4 linked regions of the Drosophila melanogaster genome follow. The protein of the gene in region 1 purifies or fractionates together with the protein of each later gene. This does not show direct contact. Each region holds a gene or a part of one and is shown in the gene's direction. Other genes may lie near its edges.

The links.
Region 2: the proteins of chic (region 1) and capt purify together in Drosophila melanogaster (affinity purification with western blotting; 2 studies listed by BioGRID, with this or other methods). This does not show direct contact.
Region 3: the proteins of chic (region 1) and DAAM purify together in Drosophila melanogaster (affinity purification with western blotting, with the first as the bait; one study listed by BioGRID). This does not show direct contact.
Region 4: the proteins of chic (region 1) and dia purify together in Drosophila melanogaster (affinity purification with western blotting, with the first as the bait; one study listed by BioGRID). This does not show direct contact.

Annotation. Positions count from the first base shown.
Region 1 is NT_033779.5:5,976,615-5,983,399, reverse strand, and holds the start of chic (chickadee), read left to right. Parts: upstream 1-2,381; 5' UTR 2,382-2,447; exon of another isoform or gene 2,448-2,553; intron 2,554-2,918; exon of another isoform or gene 2,919-3,191; intron 3,192-3,298; exon of another isoform or gene 3,299-3,460; intron 3,461-3,695; 5' UTR 3,696-3,877; coding exon 3,878-3,988; intron 3,989-6,617; coding exon 6,618-6,785. Other genes in the region: eIF4A (eukaryotic translation initiation factor 4A), read right to left, coding at 164-390, 1,565-1,566. UniProt on the Drosophila melanogaster protein: Binds to actin and affects the structure of the cytoskeleton. At high concentrations, profilin prevents the polymerization of actin, whereas it enhances it at low concentrations. By binding to PIP2, it may inhibit the formation of IP3 and DG.
Region 2 is NT_033779.5:1,151,178-1,160,230, reverse strand, and holds capt (capulet), read left to right. Parts: upstream 1-3,919; 5' UTR 3,920-4,262; coding exon 4,263-4,485; intron 4,486-5,177; coding exon 5,178-5,679; intron 5,680-5,824; coding exon 5,825-5,949; intron 5,950-6,499; coding exon 6,500-6,845; intron 6,846-6,912; coding exon 6,913-7,460; intron 7,461-7,530; coding exon 7,531-8,054; intron 8,055-8,115; coding exon 8,116-8,199; 3' UTR 8,200-8,553; downstream 8,554-9,053. Other genes in the region: Tango14 (transport and golgi organization 14), read right to left, coding at 131-475, 764-1,255; Vps29 (vacuolar protein sorting 29), read right to left, coding at 8,820-9,053.
Region 3 is NC_004354.4:1,304,576-1,311,171, reverse strand, and holds the start of DAAM (dishevelled associated activator of morphogenesis), read left to right. Parts: upstream 1-2,699; 5' UTR 2,700-3,048; coding exon 3,049-3,096; intron 3,097-6,326; exon of another isoform or gene 6,327-6,406; intron 6,407-6,596.
Region 4 is NT_033779.5:20,757,770-20,767,510, forward strand, and holds dia (diaphanous), read left to right. Parts: upstream 1-2,530; 5' UTR 2,531-2,668; coding exon 2,669-2,688; intron 2,689-2,755; coding exon 2,756-3,072; coding exon of another isoform or gene 3,073-3,128; exon of another isoform or gene 3,129-4,372; intron 4,373-5,727; coding exon 5,728-7,683; intron 7,684-7,740; coding exon 7,741-8,271; intron 8,272-8,348; coding exon 8,349-8,821; 3' UTR 8,822-9,183; downstream 9,184-9,741. Other genes in the region: RHAU helicase, read right to left, coding at 1-13. UniProt on the Drosophila melanogaster protein: Required for cytokinesis in both mitosis and meiosis. Has a role in actin cytoskeleton organization and is essential for many, if not all, actin-mediated events involving membrane invagination.

The DNA of each region.
Region 1 (6,785 bases):
AGTGCTGCAAAGCGGAATTTCAACAAAGAAATACAGGCGCAGCGGCTGAGTCATCGTGCTGTTTTTTCGCCGATTTTGCACATTCTCGAAAGTTTTTCTTTGTGACTGATCGAGGGGGATGATGGTGAAGATGATGATGGGGGACTCGGAGCCATTTACTCACCCGACTGGGCCTGGGCAATGACATCGCGACCCCTCACACAGGGAATGATGGCGCGCTGCTGGATGGCCGACGGCTTCTCGAAACCATAACCGTAGATGCCGCGCAGCAACTCCTCGCGCAAGTTCATGTCATCGAAGTTGTCGTACACCTCGTGCCAGGTGGACTCGATGACGCCCTCGGGTTCCATGCTGGCGGGGCCATCCTGAGGTATCTCATTTCGGTCATCCCTGCAAGAAAGCGAGAATGCGTTAGTGGGGCGGAACAGTGGAAACAACAACAAAAGCAGTAGCGGGACGGGGGTAAAAAATTTTCCAGCCACAATTGTTGGTTATGGCGAATGGCAGAAAAGCGAAAAGTAAGTAAGGCTGGTGGAGGGAGAATCGAAAACCGCGAGCGCCGCTTGGCAACCACTCACATTATCAACAATAAAGAATTGACTAGGTAAACTTATATCCTGAATTTCGACGGCTTGGGCCCGGTTCACTCAATCAACTGTTTGCCTATTTGTCTAGAACGAATAACGGAGAATTCGGGCCGAACGCCGACTGTGTTGTTTTCTCGAGCTATCGAGCGCTTTGCTTTTAGTCCGTTACGTTTGTGCTGCGATGCGCTCTGCGAAGCGGTGACTTTACGTATGAGACCGAAAGCGATAGCTAGGCAGCCTTTTTGAGCGACAAGCGGCGAGAGTCCGCCCCTGAGCGTGTGCGAGCGGGACGACCCTAGTGTCGTTCGTGTCAATGTCAACGGGCGAGAGCAGCCGAGCGATATTAGCACGTAACAGTGGCGCCAGTGTTGCCTAACACCAGTTGCGAATGGTAGTAGTTGATCGAAAATAGCAGTAGTTTTGACAGTACGGCGGGGTGGGGATAGAAAAAAAAAACCGACTGACAGGCAAATATTCCAAAGCAAATCGAAAATTGAGTTGGAGCAAGGCTAAATCAGCCCACGAATGCCGTCGTCCACTAAAGATAGAATCAGCGGTCTGCGTCATTGTCCAGTCATGAGTCAAGCGAACGGACGGACGAGAGTGCATAAAATCCAGTCAAGTGGCGACACCGACGTCACCGGACTTCAACAAAAGTCCCCAGTTCGGAGTTCTAGGTTTCGCCAAGGCGAAGGGGGAGGGGTGCAAAGACCGAGTCCAGCAACAAAACTCTCTTGGAGCAACCACTGCGCTCGCTCTCTCTCGCTCGCATGGTGGCTGCCTCTCACTCCCACTCCCTGCACTGTCATACGGGCGTGTAATTTTTTTCCACTCATTTTGACCGTCAGAAATTTAAAATCGCGTTTTTTGCATTAAAACACGCGGAAATTATGCTAAGCAGTTGCGGAATCGATGCGGCACAAGATCGCCTTGCGGCTTTTTACATTTCAAACGCTTAATCTAGGGTATATACTAACATTTTCTGAAAATTATTTGGCACTTTTTATACACGTGCTGCTACTGATTTGTTAAAACCAAGCAAAAGAGGCTCCATCTTGCAAAAGTTTTAGTGATGTAAGAAAACATTAGCGACTATCGATAGATCGATCGCCAACTATCGCCAGATGTTAGCGGATATCCGGCAATTTCGCTGCGGCTTCGCAGTGTGTATGGTAAAGAAAAACAAAGCATAAAATAATGCAAATATTTTGAATTCAATTTGTATTATTTTGCACTTTTTTACGTTATTTTGGAGGTGCCACTTGAAGTTCAGGGCTGCAGACCCAGAGCTGGGGTGCCTGACTTCGCTATTTTATTTGCTATCGATATTACGCCCATCAAAGTTTTCCACCAGTATAAATATTTAAACCCGAATCTTATATTTGTTTAATAAATTTGATTGTAATATTGTTTTCCAACAGATTACATTCTCTTGTTGTAAAGACTTAATTGTAGTATTCAACCATTTGAACAACAACCTTATGTGAATCATATTATACAAATATATGAAAGTATGGAATTTTACATATGCTGCTATTCAGTGAACTGTTTTTAAATCGTGGGACTGGAACCGGCCAGCTATTTGTCTTAGTAGCTTAACGATCAGTGTTGTTTTGAATCTTTTTGAGTTTAAGTACAGTAATCTTATCTCATAGTACTCGAATGTGGAAGTGAATTTAAACTTTTCATGCCGCTGGTCTAACCGGGACTTACGAAGGCAAATAGCGAATACAATCGATTGCGAGGAATATCGTGATCGAATTTTGGCACACATCGATTGTTTCGAGCGAACAGCGACTTGTGTTCCAGTACTACCGCTTGTCGACGGTCACTCTGAATTTTTACCGCAGCGTGTGAACAGTGTGAGTGCCGTGGGTTTCCTGGAAATCCGTTTAGAAAGAGATTTCTCTAGACTTACTGAACGTGGGGTGGTTCGACAAAAATCGAAAACCGACCAACACTTTGGGTAAATTGCGTACAAAGCGACTTTCGTGCTGGGTGCACGCCTTAAATGGCGAAAACCCACACATGTACGCGCTACTTGGCCAACCGCGTTGGCTGTGCGTCGCCGTCTGCGGGTGTGTGTGTGTGTATGCCTGTGTGTATAAGTGTGCAAAAAATTAAGTGGGAAAAGTTCAGCAGCAGCCGGTCGGTATTCGGCATACGGCATTCGGTACTCGGTATTCCATTCGATTTGTCAAGCAGCCAATGCTAACATATTGCGGGTGCGGTGCAGCGCAGCACATTATGATATGTGAGATGGGATTCGAACATATAGGCGTTGAAATTAAAGGCTATTTTTAATTTATGACAGTTACTCAGTGCCGGCCAACAAAGTGACGATTCATAACACTCACTCGGAGAGCCGCCGTTGAGTCATCGTCTGCTCTCACTCGCTCATTTGCATTGTCCGCAGCCGGCTGATTAATAACGGCCCGCCTCGTACGACCGTCTCGCTCACACACCCACTCCAGGCGCACCGTTGCACTCGCCCTGGCTACGGCTCTCGCTCGCTCACTCTCTGCCCCACTCGAAAGCAGTGGCAGTGGGTGAGTGAACGGGTGACTCACGGCTTGGAATTGAGCGCTTTGGAGCAGAGGCAAGGCAAGCAGCCCCCTGCAGCGCGCACTCTTTCGCCACTCTCTCTCCATCTCTCACTCTCTCGAGTGGGTTTTCTCGAATTCAAAATCGGTTTATGGTTCTGCTTTGCGCTCATTCGACTTTTGAAATCCGCCTCGAACGCTTCGAAAATTCCCAGCGAGTCGGACGTGTGTGTGGAGCTGCGGCGTACGGTTTCTGTTTCTGTCTGTCTTGGTCTCCTTGGTCTTGCTCTTGCTCTTGGTCTCATCCCCCGTGCGTGTGTGTGTATATATGTGAGTTTTTCGGAGGCGGAAAATTAGGCGCTTTGTGCAATGCATCACAATCAAAATCACTAGATATATATACTTATATGTATATACATAAATGTGCATAACACAATTCCGCCGATACCCGGTAATTTGTCAAGGGCGGATGCAACACCCACTGCCGCATGATAAAATACGATACGATTTGATAAATGTTAATCCATCTCTCTCTCTCTCTCTCTTTCTCCACCTCTCGTTGCAGTTGAAAGTAAGTTACCCCAAGAAAAAATCGTCGGTGTTGCGGTTTTTCTTTGTCTCCCTGCCAATTTCGTGTGACCCCCGAAACGAAAGTGCGACTCGCCGTGCGGTAAAGCAACAGCGATCCATATCCAGATCCATATATATCAGTTCAACTTAATCCGCACCCACGACAAACAAAGCACCATGAGCTGGCAAGATTATGTGGACAACCAACTCCTGGCCTCGCAGTGCGTGACCAAGGCGTGCATCGCCGGCCACGACGGCAACATTTGGGCGCAGTCCAGTGGCTTTGAGGTGAGTACGTCGAACGGAATGGACTAATGGACGGAAAGCGGTTGGGAAAACCCATAGAATGGAATTCGGACGGAAAAACGGATAGTTGACAATGAATTTTCGCAAGTTCAAGGGTGTGACTCTCGCGCTGTCTTCCTCTCGCGGCCGCCATGATAACTTTCATTTGATAAAGAGCAACTCCCACCCCTTCGCCCTCGCCCTTGTCAGTTTCACCCCCTGCAGCGCCACTCCTGCGCAGGCCCGCTACCCCCTCCTCTCCCGCCTACGCTTTTGAGGGAGTGTGCGTGATCATACAACCCAGCAGGGAGACCAATTGGGCGACCTAGCCGATACGGATGGATTTCTGTTTATCGGTGACTAAGGAGGTGCAGCTTCGCTTCGCGGTAATCACCAATGCACTTGCATGCGGCGATGAGTGTGTGGTGTGGAGAGCGGGGGCGGGGCCGGGACCGGGAAATCTGATATCAGCGCAGCCGGTTCGAATGTCTGCGGTGCTGTGCAACACTGGTTCCTGATAATGCAGCCCACAGGCGCCTGGCATCAGCCCCACCCCTTCGCTATCGCTCGCCTTTATCGCACTCAATACAGACGGACCGTTTCCTCTGCGGCGACGGCCAAAATAAATGCTCTTTATCGGAGCGAAATACAGAACCAAACAGAACAGAACCAAAATGAAACGAACAGAAGTACAGAAAATATCTTGAGCATGCGATGCCGCGTCACCAGCGCAGAGTGAATCGAATTGAGTGGAGTTGACTCCGCTTCGGCTTCTTTTACTGATTTCGATTCTGAATCTGAATCTGCTACCTTCGAATGCGAATGCTCTGAGTATTTCTCGTATGCGCGCCACGTTTTCGCCCTTTTGTGAGTGTGGCTGTCTGTGTGCGTGTGCAACTTCCTGTCGACTCCGAATCCGAATACAAATACGAATCCATGTGCTCTTATCCTGCTCGCTCTCCCAGCGAGATTCCACTCGATTCGGGCAGCCACTCCCTAGTGCTTTGTCCGTCGAATGAAGTTCATCTCGCCGCTTATTAGATTAGGAACCGATTTTGGCCAAATTCGATCCGCTGCCTACGTCACCTCACCATCACACTCATTCTTTTATCTACCTGCCATTTCTGCACGCGCATCACTTTCGTTTTATTATCTCTCGCTGCCTTCGCAGGTGCCTTTGTTGTTTTTCCCAACTTCGCATTACCCAAGTTACCCAGTTTTGATCTTGATTCGGATGAATCATTGTGAATACTTAGCTTTTTCCTTTTCCGATTGATCAGCTGAGCTGGACCTTGTGAGAGAGTTGTGTTTTTGGGCTGCTAATAAAAGTTTATGATAAACACATTTATATACATGGCTTTGCATTGAGAAAACCGACTTTGGGTGACAGAATCTGAGTGCCATCGTGTGGCATGTTCATTCATTGAAAAACTACCAATTTAGGAGATTTTTGGCACTTGTGGAATTTTCGCTATCGCCGCATAATGAGCTCCGCTTAGTTATTAACGTTTTTGGCATAGCTGTCTACGCAAAACCGGCTTTTCGCGACTTTACTGCTCTTCTGCTCTGCTCTCCTCTTCGCATTTCTTTCTCTCACGCGACGCGAGTTGCGCTCAATGGAAACTTCTCGATGCCCAATTCGAGTGGCATTCGGATGTGTCACCGTTCGGCAGCCGCAAATGAGTAACTATCGGTTGTGCGAGATTTTCAAATTAATTTCCCCACTCACCCCCCGGCAAAAGCAGCTGTTACCTGGGGGATGGGGCTGCCAACTTGTTATGCATTTGACCAAGGCTATTGACATTGGTGCTACTCTCTCTCTCCCTCTTTGTCTCCATCTCTTTTGTTCTCTCTCTTTCTCTGAACGGACAAGTCGCTCAAGTGTGCAAAACTTGTTTTTAAAATCCAAAAAATCAAGCCGGGCACGCATCCCGAGACCCACAGTATCATATCCCTTAGCCAACTCTACAGCCTCCTTGTGCCACACCCCTCTGTTTCCACCCCGGTATCGAGTGGACCACATTTGCTAATGAGTTGGCAGTCGTCGTCGATGGTGCCTACTGTTTTCAAATGGGTGGTGGTTTGCTCGCGGTGGTGGTGCTTGTAGTGGTGGTGGTGGTGGTGGGTTTGCCTTTGTTTGCGTGGGTCGTCTGCAGCTGATTAGTGCGATATTTCAACAGAAGGTTTTACTTTACACACATGTCTCGCATGTCTTTTTGCCCCGAAAACATGCAACCTCCCCTGCAGGCGACTACCCATTAATTGAACCCAACACAACCAATATTTCATACCACCGTTCAAAATGTTCGTTTTTTTGCTCTCTTATGGTCCTTTGAATTGTTGAGCCTTTTTCAAAATGATGATTTTGCAAGTGGGATCAACGCAATATGATGAAATTCTCTCTCAATCTACTTGATTAAAGTTTTCAATATAGTTGAATTTATTAGGTACTGGTTTCTGATTCATACAATGGGTTTACTAAAGATTTGATGACAGTATGTCTGAGTTCATTTGATTTCTAATGCATATGGTTAACTAAAGACCAACATGACCACTAGTCCACCTTATTACTACAAAACAACTATCCACAATCAGCGGGCACTAACTCCAAACTTTCCTTACCATCTTGCAGGTGACAAAAGAGGAGCTCTCCAAACTGATCAGCGGCTTTGACCAGCAGGACGGTCTCACCAGCAACGGCGTGACACTCGCCGGCCAGCGGTACATTTACCTTTCCGGCACAGACCGCGTGGTGCGCGCCAAGCTCGGCCGGAGCGGAGTGCACTGCATGAAGACAACA
Region 2 (9,053 bases), 4.8 Mb from region 1:
ACACTTTCATGTGAACAATACACTTTTGCAGTTTACTCTTACGAACTAAAAGGAATTCCTGGCGATAATTTACATAATGTTAAGGTAACTAGTTAATATAAGGGTGTCGCTACCCACGCGAACGATGTGCCTACGTGCCCCACCGCTGCTCGCACCGCGAGTACTTGCACAGGATGCTGGCGAACGTCTCCACGTCGAAGTGGCGTCCGCTGGGATGCGTGTGGAACTCGGTGAAGCGCGCGTGCCAGGGAAGCAGGCCGTAGGTGCACGTCTGCCGGGCGAACACGATGCCCAGCTCCGGCTCCGGGGCCTCGAACCCGAGTCGCTTGCTCAGCATGTCGCTGATCTGCTCCGTCAGCGCTTCGCGCTTCTGCTTAAGTAGGCTCTGCACCAACTCCGTCTTACTGTCTTCGTACAACTCGCGGCAGACGTCGGCGATCAGGGCATGGCCGTCGGAGGCGCTGATTTGATGGAGCTGAAAGACGCCGAAGCCGAAAAGTCAATTAGAAACTGATAAGGCAACGACTAGTTCCGGGAATCGATTACGTTGCTATACATAGGTTTTAATGGATACAAAGGTAAAACTGGTTCTCAGCACGAAGAATTTTTTGTATCTCATGTGAATGATGAACTAAATTAAATCTCCAGCTCATTACTTCTTTTATTTAACAATTGAAACAAAAAGTGTAATACTTGTAAGACATTTTCCGACATCGTTCTAAAGTCCATTACTAATCACGGCTTATCAGACGCCGCCACTCACCTGCAGTTGAGGGGAATGTGAACCGTTCACATAACCATTTGTCTTTTGTCCGTTTTTGGGCTGGTTCTCCAGTTTGCTGGGACTGGCTACGGGTGGCCACTTTAAGCAGCTGCCCGTGTCCGCGTTGGTGGATCGACAGAGATCGGCCATGTCCACGTATCCCCTGCCTTTCGTCCGCCTGTCGTACAGGCTGACGTGTTTGATGCCCACGTCCAGGGCAAAGTCGAAGATCCTGCTGAGGAGCACCGCATCCACGCCGGCATCTACGGGGGAGATAACCAGGACCAGATGCTGCGGCGTCTTCGTCAACTGGGAGCGGCAGTCAGCGAGCACGCGCCGCTCGTGCGCCTCACGTGCCGCTTTGCTGCGCCAAAGGTCATATGACCGGACGGCCAGTGCATTCAGTCGCTCTCGGAGCCGCCACATCAGTTCGTAGCCGCCGACCAGGAGCAGCAGGATCCTGCCCAGCAGCAGGCACAGCACCTCGATCATGTTGCGCAGGTCAGGGGCGGTATCTCGTACAGCGGTTGTCTCTTCTGCCAGGAATCCGCTCCTGTTGCTTCTTCGGTTCCCCGTCACAGTGTACACAAGCGGACATAACCTGCAAACGGCTGGCGGACCTGGGATTAGGGCTTTCCAGAGGTGCCGGCTGCCTACCCACGCTCATCCAGGGTCACTTCGCTACCTGTTCAGTCACTTGAGACGCGGGTGCATCTTGTTATCCGAGCGTAATCAAGTTTTAAGCGATGCGCTTCGCAAGAATAATGAAAATACGTGTTCGTCAGTGTGACCATGCGCCGGATTCCGCAAAATATCGAGAATCTAGAGCAGTTTTATAATTAAGAACTAATTAAAATAACTAAATAAAAAATAAAACATTGATTATTTAATGAATATGTTAGACTAAGTGAAAAGGGAATAACATTTTATTGGAAAACATCTTTATTAGACATACAATGTGAACGATTTAACAAAATAATTTACAGGACAAGAAATAGCGTCAATATCTGAAGGTGAACTCTAGTAGAAATGTACCGTGTTCAATCAAAATATAGTTTATTTACGTGTATATCGAAAAGTCCTAAATGCATTGCAAATAATTTAAGAATTAGTTTATAAGCTTGGCTATTGCACTTCCATCATATTTTATACATTTAAACATCCGTTTTCTTAAGTCTAAAATTTGTTGTATCATATATTTTTAGTATTCTGCCACCCACATAAGGGTTAACTCGCTTGACTATTTCCACGAATGTACGCCTGGTCCCACCAAAGGCCACGCCAAGTTATTATTTTCGCCATTTCGCCGGTGTTCGCTACGCAGCTTCTCGTCAGTTCTAATTGGAATACAACTGCAGATCCTTGCAAATTCATCAGCAGCAAAAGAAGGTGAGTAACGCCTGATTGTTGCTAAAAACGTTCATTTAAACGGGGCTTTGCTATTATTCGCAAATTCTCTTCTCCCGTTCGCCGGCTGAAAGTGTCTGCGGAATTAACGGTTATTGGTGAGGGGTGGGTGGTGCTGTCACGAATTTGAGCGTGTGTGTGTGATGCAGGCTGTGGGTGTTTGTACACACACAACAACAACAACAGCGAAGAGAGCCAAAAAGACAAGAGACAGCTGTGTGATGGCTATTTTTGTGTGATTCATGTTGCTTGTAAAATTAAATCTACATGGTGTATTTTTAACGATGATTTCATATCCGATTCCATGGCATAAAGACACAACTAATTCATTGCCAGCAAGTGTATGCAAATTAACCCTTAGCAGCTCCCATTGCGATTGTTAACCCCCGATAAAAAAAAGTAACTACTCAGCTGTTGTGGCCATTTTTTGTTTTTGTTTCGCTGACTCACAGACACATAGTTGATATGCATATGTATGTATGCATGTATGTAGTTTACGCAAGAGCAAACACGTTTGCTTGTATTCGTGCGCGAATGAGTCAAAAAGTTGGCCAAAACGCTTTTATCAGCGAATCGCGATTGAAAATCGGCAGATATTACCACTCACTCGATTTCGGTGGAAGAAAATAACACCTCGCCTTATAAGGTGGGCGATTTTTCTTCTACCATTACGAACACCCCCCACCCCTGGTAATTCGAGCTCACTCACACTCTCGCAGCGGGAATAACGGTTCCTCAGCTGCAGACATTTAATCTTGGTTTCTAGTTTTTCTTCCCCATTTCTTCTTTGCTTTCTGCACGCAACAAACGCATCTGCCGCAGAAAACGCATCAAGACTGCAAGGAGAACTAGTATCGCCAGGCGAAAGTTGAATCTCGGCTTACTTGTCCTCGGCGGCTTAGCCCCTCCCTCCAATCCAACGGCTACTGATGCATTTCCCACTCTAATTGCCAGCCATTTGTTTAAAGCTACTTAAAAACAAAAACAACGTTGCCGGTGCAATAAACCCATTGCACTAAGGCCAAAACAAAAACTGGCAAGCAAACGATATGGGAGTTTCAGTTACGTCGACGTTTTTATACTCTTCTGCGGCAGATTACTTCACAAAAAGCTGAACATTTTAAAACTGTTTTTATAGCCGGCTAAGATATGATCATTGCATCTCTCTACTCTCTATGGCTTACAAACGTTATGGTAATGCTCAAAATGGAATCATAGTTTCATTACCGATCATTCCTGGAAACTTTCCAAATAGTAAAGATAACTCGGTGTTGTCACAACTAATTGATAGGCGAACCCTGCCTTACAGGGCTGATAAAACTATGGGATCGCCGTGGTTTTCCCTCACTTAAGTCGCGCCACCCGTGGCGAGAAGGGTATCACGAAATCACAGTGGTGTCTGCGCAACTCTCTCGGAGAGTTTTCCATTTTCCGCCTGGACCGTAAGCTTTCTCTGCTGCAAAAGTGCAAGACATCGCCGGAGCTTGCACAAAATCCTGCATGTCAGGCCAAAAGCGGTTATTAATGAAACACATTTCATTGCCAGTCGGTGGCTGGCCCCAAATGGTCAAAAGCAGCGCGGAGTAGCCCAACAAGGCGGCGAAACTCAGCAGTTAACAGCGCGGAGCTCTCCTAACAGAGTCCTGTTGAGACCTTCGAGTTCGAGTTCGAAATCGAATCGAATCCCCGAGTGCGTGGGCGTGCGCTTCGTTTAGGGTGTGTTCTGTTCTCCGTGTGTAATCGCATTTGTGTGCCATTTGGTTCTGTGCTTGGTCGGCAGTCACTTGACCCAGTTGAAGGCGCGGACAACTCGGAGGACCTTATTAATGTGCCACTAAATTTGGGCCATACACTGAATATATGTACACAGTGAGCAAGGAGTGGCCACGTTCGTTGGAAACCCGTTGAGTGTCTTATATGGCTGCTGCTGTTACTGCTTCTACTGATTCGATTTGGTTTGGTGTGCCGTCAGTGTTGTGACCGCCGCTTGAGCTTCACGGGCATCCGCAGTCGAGCCACGGAACTTACATAATGTGCTTGATTCGTACCTAGAGTGTTGAGCACCGGAAAAGCCCAGCCACACGCCTGCAAAATGTTCTCCTGCTGCCGATCGAACCCCAAGGCGGGCAAGAAGGAGAAGGAAAAGCGGAACGCAGAGGAGGAGAACGGCGGACAGGTCACCGAAAAGGAGGAACCCCAGCTGAACGGCAAGCCAGGAACTCCGAAGGAGGAGCCAGAGCCTGTGAAACCAGAAAAGGAGCTCTTGGAAGCGCATAATCCCGAGGATGTGCCCACAAGCACCCAGCCAAACACTGGTACTGACGCAACGCTAAGTATTTACCCACCACCCCATCTATTCGCGTTCTCCGGCCTTCGAGCTCAACAGCTGTCTCGGCTTTTGTCTGCTCTCCGGAACGAAGGCCCCTATCCGGCCGGCTCTCACTCACTGCAATGCCACTGCAGCTGACCACCACTTCTGATCTTTCCTTTCATTTCAATCCGGGCACTTCAAGCTGCCTTGAGTGTCCTTTTCTATTTACTTATGAGTTGTCTTCACTGTGCTTTCTCTTCGGTTTATTTCTGTGAATTTTATACATATGAATATCAAGGAATTGCGCCGATTCTCAGTTGATTAATGAGGAATAGCTAATGACATTGCATACACACTTTTTGTTGAGCACTTAGATCGTGCTCATCCATCAAAGTGAACGTATAGTATATAGTAGTGACGAATATAGAAACTAAAATGAAGGTCAATAATTTAGACAGAAAATTCAAGATTCTATAGATTCTATAATAATAAGGTGAGCAGTAAAAACTAACTACTCAATCTGCCAGTGACCATGGTAAATGCTTTTAAATGCGATAAATAAACATAATGAAGACAGGAAGCGAGGTGAGCAGAGAGTGAAGTGAAGTAATCAACTTAAGTATCGGCGCTTTCCTTGATGATCGTCTTGGTAATTCGTCGCTTCATGTAGAGTAATCTTAAGCAACACTTCCACAGCCCAACCAACTCAGGCTGAAGCGGCTAGCAAATCATCACCAGCAAATCCAGCACTAGCACCCAAAGAACCGGAGCCACTGGCCCGCTCAACGCACTCTTCCACATCCACGGCACCACCTGCTTCGATGACCAGCGGCGACGCGGAGGAGGCGGACGAAGTGGTGGTGGTGGCGACGGTCACGCCGACCACACCGCCTCCTCAGCCGCCGCCCACCAAGAGCTGCCTGTCCAGGCACAACTCAACGCATCAGTCGATCAAGAAGAAGGTGAATATCAGCAACCGGGCGGAGATCATCGAGCCGGATCCACTGCCACTGCTCCTGCTGGCCAGCCAGAATCAGGGCTCCTTGCTGGACGACGACGAGGTGTTCTCCGACTCACTGCCGCCACCCAAGCGGGAGAGCATGTGTGCACCCTACATCGAGGGGGATGTCGTCTCGGAAACACTCTTCTTTGCCCACGGATTACCCTCGTGGTTCGACGACGAGCGCCTGAACGACATGTATGCTTACCCAAGATCCTGTTTTGGTTTCACGCCCAAAATATCCATATAGTTAAGCTGAAACCAGAACAGGTCGACCCCTGCATTCCCAGCCCCGCTTTGAATTGCCAGTACATCGTCTCCTCTGTCCTCGTTCCATGTCCAGCGGCTGCATCGAGCCCCCGGTCACGCCGGTGGGACGCGACGAGCTGGAGCTGAAGCGCCAGCGTCTCTACACGGAGCTCCTGCGGGCCGCCCATGCGGCTGTGGAGCATAGCGTGGCCGTGCGGGGTATGCGAGCTTCGATAGAGTCCGATTCTTTTGCTTTTTTTTTTCGATCTCAGCAGTTATTTAAGCGGATGCTTGACTTTCTGTGTTCTTTATGTGTTCGTTTTCGCTGTGAAGAAGTTTTGAGAGTCTAGCGATTCACGTAACTTCCTGATGGCCAATAAGTTCGCAAGTCAAGTGCTTCCGTTTAAAGGTTCAACTTAGTTCTTCTCTCTTATGATTTTTCGTTGTCTTGTGCCGTTTTTGCATGTGGATTATTACTTTCACTCGTTGGGATTAGCTCTTTTTGCATATTGAACTTTATAAGTATTAAGCGCACCAGTTCATCATCATACACAAGCTCGTGATGAGGTATTCCTCTCGAGACGCCTTAGTTTATATCGCCTTTTTTGTCAGGTATTGTGAGTGCACGATTCACTGGGGTTTATCACGCTGAAGCATCATCTCACTCAAGTTATTTTCTTTATAAAACTCAGTGTTATTTGAATAATTCGAGATAATTGCCAAAACGAACTAAACATTTGCCGTTCTCCTCCGCGTCATTTTGGTTCAGATAACGAGCCGGAAGCCAAGCCCTCGGCCGCCGTCGACCACTTGGAGAGCATTTGCGAGCGACTGGAGACCCTCGTCGACCGATTGGAACGGACTCTAACAGCGCCACAGCCGATAGAACTGCCCACGCCCACACTCCCGCCTCCGCCAGCCGAAGAAGAAGAAGCTCTTCCAGTTTTTGAAAAAGCAGAGACACCACCTCCACCTCCCTCGCCGCCCAGCAGCAACATGAGTGTCGCCGGATTCGAGGACATTGTGGCGGGTCCGCTGAGCCAATACCTAACTCTCTCCGCCAAAATTGGCGGCGATGTGGCGCAGCATGCGGAGCTCGTGAAGAGCGCCTTTGGGTGAGTCAGTCTGGATGAGTCATCTATGGTAAAAGTGTAATAATGCCATCGTTCAATTCCGCAACAGCTCCCAACTGCAGTACGTGACGCTGGCCACCCAGATCGCCCAGCCGGCGCAGCCCAAGCAGGCGGAGCTTCTGAAGCCGACCTCGACGCAGATCAGCGCCATCCAGGACTTCCGCGAGAAGCACCGCTCCTCGCCCTTCTTCAACCACCTGTCGGCCATCAGCGAAAGCATTCCCGCCTTGGGCTGGGTGTGCGTGGAGAAGACCCCGGGTCCCTATGTCAAGGAGATGAACGACGCCGGCCAGTTCTACACGAACCGCGTGCTCAAGGAGTGGAAGGAGAAGGATGTTACGCATGTGGAGTGGGCCCGCGCCTGGGTGCAGACGCTCACCGAACTGCAGGCCTACATCCGGCAGTACCACACCACGGGCTTGGTGTGGTCCGGCAAGGGAGCGGCCCCCGCCGGAGGTGCCCCGCCACCACCGCCACCCGGTGGTCTGCCCCCACCGCCGCCCATGCTGGATCTGAGTGCCCTCAAGCTGGATAGCGCCGGAGATGATCGCAGCGCCCTCTTCGCCCAGATCAACCAGGGTGCCGACATCACCAAGGGTGAGCAGCAACTGCAAAAATGGTTAAGTGCTCCTATAGTAAGAAAATGTATCTTTTGATAAACCCGCAGGCTTGAAGAAGGTCACTGGCGACATGCAGACCCATAAAAATCCATCTCTACGCACTGGACCGGCTCCGTTCAAATCGCCAGCCCAGTCGGGCGGCAGCAAGGCCGTTGCTGCTCCATCAGCTGCGCAAGCCAAGGCGCCCGTTTTCGAGCGCGACGGAAAGAAGTGGATCATCGAGTACCAGAAGAACAACACCGGGCTGTTGGTGGAGAACGCCGAGATGAACAACGTGGTGTATGTGTTCAAGTGTGAGGGATCCACTCTGACCGTCAAGGGCAAGGTGAACAACATCGTCTTCGACTCCTGCAAGAAGTGCTCCCTGCTGTTCGATTCCGTGGTGGCCTCCGTGGAGTTCGTCAACTGCCAGAGCGTGCAGATGCAGGTGCTCGGCTCGGTGCCGACGGTATCGATCGACAAGACCGACGGCTGCCAGATGTATCTGTCCAAGGACTCGCTGGGCGTGGAGATCGTCAACTCCAAGTCCTCGGAGATGAACATCCTGTTGCCCGACGACAGCGGCGATTATGTGAGTTCAAAAATTTGTCTCTTGTCTTCAGTCATTTATTTATTTTTTTTGTGATTTCCAGACCGAGTTGGCTTTACCGGAGCAGTATAAGACCACGATTGCCGGCAAGACCCTGAAGACTGTGTGCGTGGACAGCCTCGGCTAAGGCGGTTCTCCTCCTCGGGGATCCTGTTCGTTGCTTTTCCAACTGTCGTCAGCAGCAATCATAATTGTATTTAATCTAAGTGCAAAGTTTTCGTAATTCAAAGATTTTTAGATCAAACATTTCGTATTGATGATGTTGCCAAACATTGCTGTCCTGGCTCGTGGAAAGTATTTATATAATTTATTTCGATGGAAAAGCGATGGCCACAAACCGAACCCAATGTATTTATATCGAGAGTGTGTTGCAATGAGAAACTGAGCATGAAATCCGAACTTTTGAGCAGACTCTTTACTCGATCATCAGATGTAACTCCTTTTTATATTCTATTTAATAAAATTTAAACTTTTTTATCAGATTATTGTGGGAGTATCACAATTTCTGGGGGTGTTTTTCCTTACTTTGTAATCGTTTATTATTGCATTAAATCTAAAACTTCACTTTCGTCCGTTCGTACTTTTATTCTCTATTTAAACAAGGTGCTAGCATTTTTTATCAGATAAAAAAATGAGAACTTGATTTATTGCTACGTACATTTACAATTTCTTTAATGAAGCCGAGCTCAGAATGCAGGGGTCAAGGGTTGGATTGGAGGGGAATGGCTGGTGGCTAATACTAGGACCCTAGATCTTCTTGTACTCGATGCGCTCCACTTTGACCTCGTCGCCGATCAGTTGGTACACGTACGTGACCACCGTGGTGCTCTGAATGTCCATCAGCACGAACGAAGGCACCACATTGGTGTCCAGTGGGTTGAAGGCACCCGTGGCCGATCCCGGATTGATGTAGAATTTGTTGCCGTGCTCGTAGGCCTCGAACTTGTACGTGTGCCCCGTGATCAGGATGTCCACGTCCAG
Region 3 (6,596 bases), on another chromosome or scaffold:
TGAAACCGATATTAGCTGAGCGGAATAGTTAATTAAGGCATACGCGACATATGCTAATGTCGCCGAATGTGCATATCAATTTGTCAGAGTCGCTCGTCCAACTCCTCGCCCGTTTTGGCCAAAGAAGCCGCGGGCCGCTGAGCCGTAATCAGAAATCCGTAAGCCGGAAAGAGTCGGGCCAATTGACGGATGTGCGAGCGAGTGGCACAGATGCGGGTGATCCGCCGCTGGGAGAGGCAGCTGTCAGTGATTATTATAATACACTTTCATCGAGAGATTTATTTTACTCAGCTTTGTTGTTTCCTTAGCGTTGTTCCCCAAGTTCGTTGCTTAAGTCTTTTGATTTTCCCCTAGAAGGCTCAGGAAACTGGCAAGCAGATTAGCCGCATCACATCAGTTATCGCGCCCTTCACCTGCACCCCTAACCCTACCCTTTCCACCCTTTCCACTCGTCACTCACACTTGTGATTTAGTGGGCGTGCGCAAGAGAGAGAGAGAGAGTCCGAAGGAAAAGGACGGGGCGAGCAAACACTTGTGTTTGACTCATTCATGTCAGGTGCCAACAGGCGGATAAATTGTTTGTGTATTTCTCCATTTCGCTGTGATTTCTGCCCGGCAAGAATATTAAAAGGCCGTACTTTCATGCTTTCTAGTGAAATTGAAAACTCATTTAAACAGCCGAAAATAAACAAATTGAAGACGACGCGGCCGTGGGCAAAATTTCACTTTCAACCAATGTTTTTAAACACCTTCTCTGTACTTTAGGATTTCGTCAGCTCAAGCTCAAAAATGATATGGATATGATTTTACAAGATTTCGGGCGGAGGCAGACTTGATGAAGTAGGAGCATCTGCGATTAGCTGGAAATGGAAAAGGGGCTGGGCAGAGGTTGTGCCTGGAGATAGGGGCGAACCAAATCAGATTAGCCAGGGAAATGAAGTGGGTTCTTTGAGTGATTACGAACTGCCTCATGCTCACGTTTTCTTGGCCCATCGACAAAAAGCTGCTAATGGGAAATTATGTCTGGCTGCATCACATAATGGCCAAGTAATTGCGATCGAAGCGTGGTGGCTTTCGGATGAGTTGGCACAACACCCATAAAAAGCCCTTCGAGTAGCAAATGGGAGATGGGAAATGGGAGAGTCGATTCGATTTGGCTCGGGCTGTGAGGATTGCATTAATCAATAGGGAGACTACCACTCCGACTACCTATGACTATGACGGATTCCTACTAATTTGCTTCTCGCCGTTCTCCTCTTTTCCACTTGCAGCCAAAGACTAATCCCAACAACGAAGCCAATTAGCAACAACAGGTGAGTAAGAAGTCATTGAAGACGGTTCGCTGCCGAGGAGGCAGTTGGTAAATGTTCGATAGGTCTAGAAAATCGGAAAATGAGTGCGCTTTACAGCCCATAAATATAAGTATGATACATCATTGAATAGTCGCTCTTCTATTTTCAACGATCAAAATTTAGACGTGGTAGAAGATGGTTACACCATCAAATTGGTTTTAAAATAATAATAGCATTTGCCTCTTCAACTGTTAAGGGTATCAAAAAGCTAAAAAAAAAAGGCGCGAATATCCAGCCAAAACAGCTAAAGAACGGATGGCCACCTCATGCCGTCGACTCCAAATTGAATGACCGTCAGCATTCGGTATTTGGCCAATGATCGTCGGTATAAGACAACAACATTGGCTCTAATAAGGACCGTTACATAAAAAAAAGAGATGATGAGAATCGTTGCTGAAAATCGGGAAGTGGAGATAGAGGGGCAGAGGCGGTGTTTTTACACGGCGGTATTGCCATGATATTTTATTTTTTGCATGACACTTGCAAAATCGAAACAAAAGAGAGGGAATAACAAACTTTACTTGTGACGACCTTAAATTGTTTTTGACTTTGACTTCGACTCTGGCGGCTTTGAGCCCACAATTGCCAAAGTTACCGGTGAACATGGCTATGTGCATGTTGCCGAACAACTTATCGAGCGGACTAACAATTGTCTGTTGTGTGCGGCTGATTTGCCAGAGCTAATTAAGTTGTTCGATAGACAGTTCGGCTGTCCAATTGTTTCTTGGCTTGGTTTCATGCTTCCAACTCCTTTACATTGGTCGGCTAGTTGTCTCCTTTCGAAGTTAAACTATCACTGGTTGGATTGCATTTGGGAATGAATCGCAGGTGGTATTCCAGTATCGTGGACCTTAGGCTCCGCTTGGTCTTCTAAATGCTCGTAGCAGTAAGCTCTTCGTTTCACACCCATAATTACCTCGATATCTCTTCAAGTGTCTCAGCCCTTGTGATTTCATAAATACCCCAGGAATGCACCCCGCACGCACATGGAAATGCAGCACCTTCCACCACCCACTATCCACCAAGGCGGCCCCAATCCGCGAGCCAAGGCGAGCGGTGTGCGGGCGGGAGTGCGACTGAGACTGGGACACAGTGGGGTCTGCGGCATTAGGCACAGAATAGGCTCAGAGCCCGCTTTCTGCCGTCGACCGGTTTCGCGTTCGCGTTGGAGCCCGCTCCGGCTCTCGGGCTCTCTGCTGGCACCTGTCGCTGCCACTCTGTCTTGGCCAACTTCTTCGGCTTGCCGCGGCGACGTGCTCGTGCTCGTCGTGTTGCTTTTGGCCAAGTCGCCGCTGCCGTGGGCACGTCTTGAGCGGCGAGCGTTCAATGCGCTGCCAGCCGTCGATAAGAACGCACGCGAGCGGGTCAAGTCATCCGGCAGACAGAGACCGGCTATGGAAAGCAAAACCTAAGGCTATAGGCTATATAGAAGTCGAACTGATTAAATCGGAAATTGGAAATACGCGCGCGCGTGTGCTTTTCGCAAAGCGAACGAACACTGTTTGAATACACTTTGTATGTCAATTTAAAATTTTTTTTTTCTTCGGATTAATTTTTTTTTGCATCAAGTGAATTGGCAATGAGCAGTGCGTGATGTGCGAATTGGTGCTGCATCCCAGTCCGCGGCAGAAGAGACTTGCAACGCTATAGTTATAGTTTTTGAATTCGAATTCCAGTGCTACAGAGCAGTATCATTATGTCGAGCATGAATCAAATGAGTGTCCTCATGGATAAGATCAACACGGTGAGTGCCAAGGGATTCTCTGGGCTTTTGGGGGCGTTAGTGGGTCTCTGGGTCGATCCACTTAAACCTGCCAAAGAGTGGACCTTTACACGAATTCGGTTCGGTTGTTTCGTTAAATTGAATCGCTTTTTGTGCAACCCAGTAAAATGGTGTGAAAACTATTTGCTACACTGTCGCCTCGAATACTTTGTACATTTAATACATCTATTGTTATATTCATAAACTATTTTGTTTGGTTAGGAAGTCTGTCTAGCTTCTGTGCTTTTACTTCGCAACCCCTTTTGCAATTTCGAAGAAAAGTTATTGGCTGAAGGGTAAGTCCCTCTTAACTGCTTTGGTTTCGTCACGCAGTTCCCTGCTGCACCTCTAAGGTTTTCCACCTGCTGTCTGTGAGCCTCGTATCGAGGGGGGGGGGCGAAGTAGATGAGGGGCAGGGAAAAGGGGGAATAGGCAGCGAGAGTCCGCTCTCACTTGACCAACAATTTAACGTCATTTGCATTCAAAAGTGTCGCCTAGACGCTCATAAATAAAATGAAATTGAAATTTTTGCGCCTCACTTTTCCCAGTCCCCCTTCTCCGATCGCCGATCCCCGATCCCCGATGCTCGGATGCCCGATGTCCGATGCCCGGGTACTCGACGTATTTTGATTGTGTGGAAATGAAAGTGAAATGCGCTCCAGCGAAATTAAGTGCCCATTGGCCGCCATCCCGCAATCCACCAATTCCCCCGCTCACTTCGCCCCTGATTTAAGTGCGGCTGAATGAGCTTCAATTGAATGAGCTGACGAAATGCCGCGCGCCGCATAACAAACATAAAACAAAAATCAAACGAAAAACAAACAAGTGGCCGACGTCCAATTCGGCAAATTATATGGCGGGATGGGATCGGTATTGGAGGTACCGAAAGTACTCGAGGTGCACTGCAGCCAGGCGTCTGCTGTTTGTGCAACAATAATTAATTAGTAATAATTTTCGGTTGCCTTCTTGTGTGCGAGTGTAGAAATGCCGATGGGGGGTAAGAGTTGGGCAATCTGAACGGTCGAGCCTCTGCTGGATCCTCTCAAGACCCATCCCATGCTATCCCATTCTCGCACTCTCGACCAGCACTTATTGGTTGCGATGAATGAAGCAGCTCCTGGCTTGGATTCGGCATGAAATTAGAAGACTGCAACTGCAATAGCTTTATAGCAACCCAGCTGACTGAAGTCCATCGAAATGTATGTATGGCTTTGGAAAGGAAAAAGAACAAATACTGCACAGCATAGCAATGGCATTTATCGCATATTTTACACCAACTCAACTGACACAACACCTCTATGCTGGTTGGGAAATGTCATAATACCACTTGTCTGTCCTACGCTCTACTTGTGTGGGTTTTCAATGACTTGTAGCTCCACTTCGGGCTGCGCTGAGTTTACTTCCTGGCGACACACTGACGCCTAGAGGGAGTTGGGCAACGGGAAGGGGCAGGGAATGGGGGCTATCATAATTCGCGATTGGAGGGATTATCCCCAACGAATGACCAATAATTAACGGCAAGTTCCGTTGTGACGTCAACTACCGCAATCTGCGCTAGAATTCCATTGAGCTTTCTCCACGAAATGCGCAGGTTGCATAATCTGCATCTGCATCAGCATCTGCATCTCGGCCAACTGTTTGCTTCTGCATCTGCAACTGCAACTGCCGCCAAACCCGCTCGCGAACTGGTTCGTCTGGCCTGTGGCCGCCTTATTTATGACGCAAGCCGCTGGCGGATTCTAGGCTCTAGGCTAGCTAGGCCAGACTGACATTGGCCTAGCCCACGGAGTAGTTCGAGGCGATACGGGGGCATTCAGCAGACGGACTCGATTCTCACGAGCACTGGAGCTGGAATGTGGGCCAAGTCATTGGATGGATAGTTAAATTATCTCAACCGGTGGCTTCACACTTGCTCACCTCCAATTACCTGCTATTTATATGTGGCACTTTCAGCTTGAGGCTGCAAGGCCTGCTAGTATTTCTTGGGCTATGCCAAAGTCTGCTACAAAAAAAAAAATATATCTATTGCATTATAGTGTATTTATAGTGTATGAAATAATAATATGGCATAGTCCGTAATCCGAACCCTAGACAAATCCAGACAGACCGCCAAGGTCTCCGGCCACCCGTCTCCTCGATTGTGGTGACCGCATCACAGAAAGTTGATTCCCGATAACGGATTGATATCACTACCTAGACACGGGAAGCTCTGACCCATATAGCCATATAACCCTATAGCAATTGGGCATAGGCCTGGCCGCACACGAACACTTTATACATTTTCGGAGCCCATATACGGAAGCCGTGCAATGCTAATGAATCGCTGCGAAAGCAACCGAAACCAGGCACCACCAGCACATGACCAAAACTAGACTGGGAAAAGTGTGTAATAATTTCCTGTCTCAGCCTGATTTGCATGTGAAGTCCCCACTCCAGCTCGATTTAATCCACTTGGACTTGGATTCGGATTCGGAGACCGCTGCTCTCCAATCCAATCCAATCCAATCCAATGCAATTCACTCTACTCCACTCCAGCTGGCCGTCTTGTTTGACTTACTTCATCATTCCTAATGGCAATAGATACCAAAGTATCTGCATGTAATGCGATCCATTTGCGGGCCACCTACGCTCCGAAACTTTCCAGAGTTTGTCAGAGATTTGAATTGAAATTTATGCGGACATGAATTAGCCGCCGCTGACCCGACTAATCAACTGGAAAAGCATAATTCCTTTGTTTTCGCCTTTTTTTTTCCGAGTGAAAGTGCCCATCTGACAGCTGATAACGCATTTGTTCGTGGATCGGATGTGGATGGGATGTCCGGCACATAAGCCAAGCAATTAGCAATTAAAGGTAACCATATCGGGACATATTAGGTTCTCGTTTATATAAAATGAGCTGAAAGCGATCGATGAACATTCTTTTTAAATTATATGTGAACAAGAAATCTAAACGATAAATACACCTTAAACGAGGAGTTCCATATATATAGTACAATACCATGTATCTCAGTATTTGCTCTGGGTAATTATCACATCAGCTGTGATAAGATTCCCCGCCACCTTGCTCTTCCACTCTTTCGCTGAGTATCTCCGCATCTTGGATGGCGTATCATTGTCAGTGTCAAAGCAAGTAAACATGCAAAGCAAGGCAAATATAGCTATATTTTGGACCGAGTTGGATAAGATACGGATCTCGGCCAAAAACTTTGCCCAGTTGAGAACCCAGTTCTGGGGCAGGAAGATGCAAACAGCCGTGCAAGTTGAAGTCAAGAAGCCGCCGCGAAAAAACAAGGTGAGGTTCAGTTAGTTTGGAATCGCGATTGGTTTCGTTCGGCAGGGGCCTAAGGTCAAGCTCGTTTTCCCTGACCCGCTGCCCCACTCGGCAATGGAGGTGGCAATCCCAACCATCCTCAACACGGTCCAACCGCTTTCCACGCACTCACGGCAGGGGCAGGAGTTTTCTTTGTTAGGCAGATTTCACC
Region 4 (9,741 bases), about 15 Mb from region 1:
TATCGCGCTGCATCCTGTCCAATTTATATAAAAGAATTCAGAAGAAGAATTCCCAACCCGAAGTCAACAAAATTCATAGTGCTGTCGGACTGTCAAAATGCGCAAATCAGATAGACTAGGACTGCCAACTTAATTATATACACCTATTGTGTTACTTTAATAATTAATTTTCAAATATAAATATTTTATTCAAACAAAATTGGTTGCATTTAGAACACGAAGCAAAATAAAATGAAAATCATAAACAAAGTTTTAAAAATAAGTGAAAAACACCGGCTTGCTGCTTATTGTTTGGTTCGAATACAGGCTAAATCCCAAAAGTATATTTCCATAACCCTTGAAAATGAAGCGGTTTGATTGAGCGATCCCGCTGCGGTCACACTAATTTCGATCAACTCAACGCGCTGAGTAAATCGAACCGCTTGTGCTTAGAATTTGTTTTTTCGCAATTAACGGCCGTGAAGAGCCAGCGATCTGCATGCCAAGTGTCCAATAACTAGGCAGAACAGTGTTTGCGTTGCACAAAAGCCCGCTAGCGGAGTGTGTTCCATGTGTCATTCCCGGCAAAGGAGCAACAAGTGGCCGAAAGTGGAAAGCAAGAGCAACAACTAAATAAGTAAGGAGTACCACACTGCAAGAAAAAGTGTTCGGAGGGAACGGTGTGCACAGCTTGTCAGCTTGTTTTTTGTACAGAGCGTCGCGCAATAAAACAAACAAAAAGACATAGTCCAAAAACAACAACCACAACAAAAGCCGTTTGATCGCGAGTTTGTGTGCGTGTGCGAGTGTGGCTCTATTTGTGTGAGAGTGGCAAGCCATTATTTTTCTGGTCTTATGACGTAAACCACCGAAAAAAATCAAAAGTGAGCAGGCGACACAGATATCAAAACGAAGGTGAGCGCATTCTTACCAATTCTCGTTTCGTTTCTTGGAATTCCAGCGGTTATTAGACGGTTTTATACTTGTTTACATTTTCGCAGTTGCAGCACACAACTAATGCCAGAGCGGGAGCGAGAAAGACATATGTAGATCGTTCTGTGGAAGGAGTGTTGGTCGCGGAGGGTTGTGTTGTGATGTTGTGGAGGGGAGGGAAAGAGATGCAGTGCATGTAAACAAAATAGAGAAAGAGGCAATTGCAGTAAATTCTTTGGCAAAAGAAATCTTGTTGAAAGCATTTCCTCCGCAGATGCTTATGTGTACTGGCGACCTGAAAAGAAATTGTTGCCCTGCTTGAACTTGTCGCTCCACTCTCCACTACCCACCTCCTCGCCCCCTCCCTCGCACACTCCTCTGCCCACACACACACACACACACAACACTCCATTCACAATTGGCCTTTTGCGGAGTCATATATTAAATTTGATTTCTCTAGCCGAGCACTGTGAATGATTTGCCGCCAGTTGGCACGCCCGTTCGCCACACTGCAGAAAATACCAGGGCACATATATATCTATATCTATATATCTATTAAATTTATCCTTGCATGCCAAATATTGAAACGCAGCACTTTATAGCTCTCTTAGCTTAAAATGTAAATTTTACTCAATTTAAGAGCACTAATAACGAACGTTTATTTCATTTCCTAATCAAATCTTACAGTTTAAGTACTTTGTTTTCCGTGTAGCGAGCCAGAACCATCCGCAAAACCTGTTGCTCGTTTGCCTTTTTATTGGATTTTCTGTTTTCTACCTCTGCTGCTCAGCTGCTGCGATTCCGATTTCATTAGTGATTCATTAGATGCGTTGGACAAGCTAACGCAAAAAGCCAAAGCTTGTTCCCAACGCATCCTTCAATACAAGGCAATTCAAATGTTCAAACGCTAACGGCCAGCCTCTCAGCCTGGTCAAATGAATCACTCCATATTCTCCACATATTCTAACCAATTTCTCTCGTGTTTTGTTTGGCTCTCAGTTTTGCGCTGTGAATAACGTGCTATTTCCTATTTTGGCTGGCCGCGATTATCGCATCGTTTTGTAAATTTAGTGCGCATTATTAATGAATTTGTCCAATTTGCTGCGGTATACTTTTATCGTTTTTGTTTATAATTATAATCAGTCGTTTTCACGCGGTGAGAGTTTTGGATAGCACAGTGGTCGGATTCTAATTTGGAAAATGGTTAAGCTTGAGAGTGTTTTAATCTGTAATATAAACTTATTGTACAAACCTAATTATAAATTGATCATTTTTGAGCTTACCAGTAATATTCACACAGTATTAAAATTATAATTCCTATTAGATTTCCACCCTTAAAAAATTTTAAATGAAAGCCAACTCTCATGTGTTAATGTTCTTAAGCATGTAAAAGGAAAACAGCACCCTTTCCAAGTCGAAGAACCACTGTAATGGGCCTCGTTCCCTCAAAATACGTACATATGTACGTGTTAATTGAAAATTCCACACTCCGTTGAGGCTGAATCGACATTACGGCACCCCAGATAATTGTAAATAAACCCAAGCTGATAATGATCGACCACCTCCCAGCCATCCGTCCATCGATTGGATGCATTCGCTGGGAAGCCATCAGAAACCGCGGTCTGTGCGCTGCTCTCGAACACTTGTAAACAAGGAACAGCTGTGCAAGTTGTCTCCCCCAAAATATTGAAGACTGCGCAGGCCCCAAAAATCGTTGTTTGGTCTTTGTTTAGTTTTCGCCTAGCTATCCAACGAAATGCGCCTCAAAAAGCTGGGGTTAGACTTGAAATCTTTTGCATAGTTTATGAAATCGAACCCAATATTTCTGTTCTGTTCTTTGCAGAATGTCTCGTCACGAGAAAACGAAATCCACGGGCGGCGGGCTCCTGGACAGTCTGTTCGGAAGACCCTCGAAGTCCAAGGGAGGAACCATCAGCAGTGGCACCCTGGCCCATGGCGGACGACCCGTGTCCGCGGACAACTATGTGGTGCCGGGCGTGGAGGACTTTGAGCAGTACATCCAGCAGCTAAGCGTTGCGGAGCTGGATGCGAAGTTTCTGGAGATCATCGAGGACATGAACATTCCGAAGGACAAGAGGGAGCCCCTGTTGGCCAAATCGAAGGAGGAGCGACAGAAGATGATTATGTGGCACTTGAAAGGTAAAGAACATGGTGCAAGTACACGTTTTCAAACAGAAAACCGCATTTGTGTTTGAAGATTGAGTATCGTTTGGCTAAGAACTATAGTTCTGGAATAGAAAGTCTAAGAATAATCTACATACATATACGAATAATCTAAACTCGTCTGAACCGTAATGTTCCAAGCAACTTTGAAAGGCCAACCGGATTGGCAAAACTTTAACACCCTTTCCCTTTGCAAGGGTATACAAACAGCAGACCATCGATTTTCGTGCAACTGGGTGACTCTGCCTTCTACTTTTTTTTTTTGCTTTTGTTGTGCTGCGGAATATTGCATTCCACTTGTGATAAGATAAGCAGGTAACGGAACTCGTGTCCGTGTGCTTTCCCCGTTTCGCTGTGTGCGTGACACTGCAAATTTCGCTTTCTGATTGCTTAGCGCCTTCTTAGCTGCCAATTTGCTCTGTGGCCAGGTTCTGTTCTATATTTCTGGCCAATTCCTAAACCGATTGAAGTGATGTCAACGATCCTTTGGATAAGTAAGCTCATAACATACATAAGTCTCTAAATGGTTTCCACTTCAATTAGTCAAGAGGTGATTACTTTGTTTGTTAACTACATATACTTGCTTAACTCTACTTCAATTTTGAGAATACTTTATTTCTAGAATTATTATAACGATATTATGTGCATCGCAGCGCGGTAATGATTCAGCTGGAATCTTCCCTTGTGTTTGCTTCATTCATATCCAGCGAGATTAGTACGGTGTACTCTACTGTACTACAGTGATACTACCAATTATCACTGTAGCACATCGCCAGCTGTATCTTGAGCACATTTCAATGCCAGCTCAGCTTTCAGCTTCAGCTTCGTTCTTTGGGTCTCGCTCCAGTTAGTTCACCATGGCCATGGTCCATTATCAGTCTTGCGGAGTGTGGAATCAAAGTTCCCTTATCGTTTGTAACGCCTAATTGCGCCACAGCCGCGGACTATCTGCTTGCCCATTTTATCAAGTAATACCAAGTGCTATATTATACATAGTATGTATGTAAGTGGTACGCGGCGAATGCGTGACAAAGTCGAGCGGCAAAAAATGAAAATGCAAAGACATTGAATTTCCACCACCGTGCACATTATACAATTTAAATTACGTCAAGTGGCAGTGAGAAAATGAAATGATTCTTTTATTTCGCGCTTAGGTCTTTTTGTTGTATAAGCAAGTGCATCGTGAAGGCGAGAGAGAGATGTACTATGTACACTGAAAGTATTTTTACTAAACATCATATATAAATATAGCTAATGATTATAACCTACTATTTATAAATCTCAATGGCCTTGTTATTGAATATAAATTTAATATTTCAAATTTTAATTCAAATTTCCTGTACCGACGAGGCTTAGTTCTCAGTGTAGCAGAGGCAGAGGGTGATTTTCCTTACACTTTGGAACGGCCATAAAATGCAAATATGCGAAAACATTAAACACATTATGACAAAATCGAGCTGAAAATAAATTGTGATGCCTGTCAGTAAACTTGAGCTGCGGCACAATCGTATCTCATAGGTGCAGATAGCTGCGAGTGAGAGGTAAAAGCGACTGAAGTAAGTATTTGTGGGTCGTGTTTATTGTGGCAGAACCCACTTGTTGCGAAATTAAATTTAAAACACAAACAATGGACTGGCCGACAACAAAAAAGGCTCGCACAAAAAGCTGTTCATTAACACGCTTCGCTTGCCGTTTTGAGTTAATTAATAAAACAGTTAGCGTAGTTTTGCTTTGACGGATAAACGTATAAGTGGTGGGCAGGTTTTGGCCAATTTGAGTGATGTCAGTGGTGCAGGTCAATCAGAAAAAGGGGTGGGTGGTCGCACCGAAGGCCTCCCTTCCAAAGGTGGGACATGATGATAGCCTTTTAACTACCCCTATCTCTCACAGTTTTAGGGCAAAGTTATCACATAAAGCTGTGCAGCAACTATTTAGAACCTCCAAAGTGTAATCATTGAGCCACCTATATAGAATATGTATCATCCTTTATCATGAAATTTACAAACTTCAAGTTGGAAAATCTGGAGTGATGGCAAATAAACTTAAAAACACATTTGCGTATTATAATGTGTTGATATGTGTATAATGTTACACCTTTGTTTAACATAACTTGTTAACGATTATATTCCAGATTAGAGCTTAAGTGGTAATTTCTCGTTAATTAAATGGTTTTCTTATCAAATTGCCATTGTACGTTTGTGGGAAAGTATTCCGATTTAGCAGACTAATGATAGGGTAGAGTGAATCATCGCTGATATGACTAAATTCAGGTGTGTTGTCGGTGGGAGGCAAACCTCTTTCTTTCAAAATATAAGCCTTGAGCTATTTTGGAATGAACCCGTATACTTTTTATCATCGAAACAGCACAAACGTGAGTTGAATGGCAAAATGTACTTTAATTTACTATTGTGCCAACTTTTAATTTATGTCAAAAGTGTAACAAATCAAAATGTCCAATATTAGCCATAATTATCAATTGCTTAAGTTACGAACTGATCGGATTAGATATTAATAGGTGTTTATAGAACCATATTCCTATGTCTACTATGTAAAATACCGCTGACCACTAAATAGCTTTACAGAAATTCAATACGTGCGCTCATCCGACTCCAACTCCAATTTCTCTTCCAGGTAAAAACTCACTGGAGCGTAGCGCCAACTCCCGCTTCGAGAAGCCCATAGACTATGTGGAATACCTGCAGAATGGGGAGCACAGCACGCACAAGGTGTACCAATGTGTGGAATCTCTGCGCGTGGCGCTCACCAGCAATCCGATCTCGTGGATCAAGGAGTTTGGAGTGGCGGGCATCGGGACGATTGAGAAGCTGCTGGCCCGGTCAAAGAATAATGCCAGCTACGAGAAGATCGAGTTCGAGGCGATTCGGTGCCTGAAGGCGATCATGAACAACACATGGGGTCTGAACGTGGTGCTCAATCCGGATCAGCATAGTGTGGTGCTGCTGCTGGCGCAATCCCTGGATCCCCGGAAGCCGCAGACGATGTGTGAAGCCCTCAAGCTGCTGGCCTCGTTCTGCATTGTCTATGAGCGGAATGGCTACGAGAAGGTTCTCCGAGCCATAACCACTATTGCAGCCACATCCTTTAAAGCGAGCGAGCGCTTTCGACCCATAGTGGATGCCTTGTTTGCATCGGATCAGCAGGATCCCAAACGGGACTTGGCATGCCACAGCCTGATTTTTATTAATACTCTCACCAATACCCCCACGGATTTGAACTTCCGCCTGCACTTGCGATGTGAGATTATGCGCATGGGTCTATACGATCGCCTAGATGAGTTCACCAAAATCGTGGAGGCCAGCAATAATGAGAACCTGCAGCAGCACTTCAAGATCTTCAACGAGATCCGCGAGGATGACTTCGAGGAGTTTGTGCAGCGCTTCGATAATGTCACCTTCAACATGGACGACGCCACCGATTGCTTCGATGTGCTGAAGAACCTGGTGACTGACACCACTTCCGAGCCCTACTTCCTGTCCATCCTGCAGCATTTGCTGTACATCAGGGATGACTTCTACTTCCGACCTGCCTATTATCAGCTGATTGAGGAGTGCATCTCACAAATCGTCTTCCACAAGGGTTACTGTGATCCGAATTTCGAGAACCGGAACTTTAATATAGACACCTCGCTACTGCTGGACGACATTGTGGAGAAGGCCAAGGCCAAGGAGTCGAAGCGGTCGGAGGAGTACGAGAAGAAGATCGAGCAGCTGGAGAGTGCCAAGCAAGAGGCGGAAGCGAAGGCGGCTCATCTGGAGGAGAAAGTCAAGTTGATGGAGGCTAATGGTGTGGCGGCTCCGTCGCCCAATAAGCTACCCAAGGTAAACATACCCATGCCACCGCCACCACCAGGAGGAGGAGGAGCACCTCCCCCACCGCCGCCACCTATGCCGGGACGAGCAGGTGGTGGACCTCCGCCTCCACCACCACCTCCCATGCCGGGAAGGGCAGGTGGACCGCCACCACCTCCTCCACCGCCCGGAATGGGAGGCCCACCGCCTCCACCCATGCCTGGCATGATGCGCCCAGGAGGGGGACCTCCACCACCGCCCATGATGATGGGGCCCATGGTTCCCGTTCTGCCTCATGGCTTAAAACCGAAGAAGAAGTGGGACGTCAAGAATCCCATGAAGCGGGCCAACTGGAAAGCCATTGTCCCGGCCAAAATGTCCGACAAGGCATTCTGGGTCAAGTGCCAGGAGGATAAGCTGGCCCAGGATGACTTCCTCGCAGAACTGGCCGTGAAATTCTCTTCTAAACCTGTAAAGAAAGAACAGAAGGATGCGGTGGACAAGCCAACGACGCTGACAAAGAAAAATGTCGATCTTCGTGTGCTCGACTCGAAGACTGCTCAGAACTTGGCTATTATGTTGGGAGGATCGCTGAAGCATCTGTCCTACGAACAGATCAAGATCTGCTTGCTGCGCTGCGACACCGACATCCTGTCCTCCAATATCCTGCAGCAACTTATCCAGTACCTTCCGCCGCCAGAGCACCTCAAGCGTTTGCAGGAGATCAAGGCAAAGGGCGAACCGCTACCGCCGATTGAACAGTTTGCAGCCACAATAGGTAAGGCGAATGGAGTTTGTAGTGCAGAAGGCGCAGAATAACTTTACTTAATTTCAGGGGAAATTAAACGCCTTTCGCCGCGACTTCACAACCTGAACTTCAAGCTGACCTACGCGGACATGGTGCAGGATATCAAACCCGACATTGTGGCAGGAACGGCAGCATGCGAAGAGATCCGGAATAGCAAAAAGTTCTCAAAGATCTTGGAGCTGATTCTGCTGCTTGGAAATTACATGAACTCGGGCTCCAAAAACGAGGCCGCCTTTGGCTTTGAGATCAGTTATTTAACCAAACTGTCCAATACGAAGGATGCGGATAATAAGCAGACATTGCTGCACTACCTGGCTGACCTGGTGGAAAAGAAATTCCCAGATGCACTAAACTTCTACGACGATCTGTCGCATGTTAATAAAGCGTCGCGGGTCAACATGGATGCCATCCAAAAGGCCATGCGGCAAATGAATTCGGCGGTTAAGAACCTGGAAACTGATCTCCAGAACAACAAGGTGCCGCAGTGTGATGATGACAAGTTTAGCGAGGTGATGGGCAAGTTTGCCGAGGAGTGCAGACAACAAGTGGACGTGCTGGGTAAGATTATCTCATCTGATCGGAACGAATATTACATGAGCAAAATCGAATTCTCTAACATCTCGTTTTAATTTCAGGCAAAATGCAGCTGCAAATGGAGAAGCTGTACAAGGACCTCAGCGAGTACTATGCCTTCGATCCCAGCAAATACACAATGGAGGAGTTCTTTGCGGACATCAAGACTTTCAAGGATGCCTTCCAAGCGGCCCACAACGACAATGTCCGGGTACGCGAGGAGCTGGAGAAGAAGCGTCGTCTGCAGGAGGCCCGAGAGCAGTCTGCTCGAGAGCAACAGGAGCGCCAACAGCGTAAGAAGGCAGTGGTTGACATGGATGCCCCGCAGACGCAGGAAGGCGTGATGGACAGTCTGTTGGAGGCGCTGCAAACGGGCTCAGCCTTTGGCCAACGAAATCGACAGGCCCGGCGACAACGACCGGCGGGAGCGGAGCGGAGGGCACAGCTCAGCCGGAGTCGATCGCGGACGCGTGTCACCAACGGACAACTAATGACCCGCGAAATGATCCTCAACGAGGTTCTAGGCTCCGCGTAGAAGTAATGGAACGAGCAATTCCCCTCTGTACATATATAAATAGATATCTGTAGCGATATAAGGGCCTGGGCTCATTAGCCGTGAGTCCGTGTGCGTCGCCTTGCTTGCATATCAACTCAATTGGCGTGTCCAAGAGATTTGACGAATTGGATGCCCAGCAGGAAGGACTGTATCAAGAGCCGCAAAGTACTAATTAACTGGAACTAGAGTCACAGGTGGATTTTCCGAAATTATTAATTGCTGTAACGGAGTCCTTGGTTTATAGGATTGAGTTTTCCGTTTGAATTGATTGGAGTATTTATTTAATTGATTGTTTAATAAATAACATTTTGTTTAGAATTTATAATATGCAAATAACACATACAAGATCACTTTTATTTAATTAAAATGATTGGCAGGCCTTTTAATTTCAGCTGTACATTTTATTTTACTGCTATGACTGTCCCAATATTAAAGTACCAATTTTACAAGTCGAATATACTATAAAAAAACTTCTAGTTGAAACTAAATTCATGTCAAGAAATTAGCAATGCATATCGATGAAAACTCCAACTTCGCTACCTATACGAAAAAACTAAATATATAGATATTTTTGATACGCTTTTACTTCTGAAATTATGTCGTTGTAAGTCTAAATACTTAAAAATGAAACTGAAAGCAACTTTAAGATTTATCTGTATCTTGTGGTCTTTACATACTGTATTCCTATTTTACTGTGGCATGTTCCAATCATTTTGCTGTGCACTTCGTTTTCGAGGCACTCAGTAGAGCAGAGGCGAGATTTATATCAAAGCAAAATTCCTTTTGTATTTAATTTGTTTTTAAGCGAAACTTTTTTGAACTTGTTTACCTTAAAATCCTATTTTAATCCGCGCTATACATAACATTGTTAATAAATGTCTATTTTTCGACAATGACGG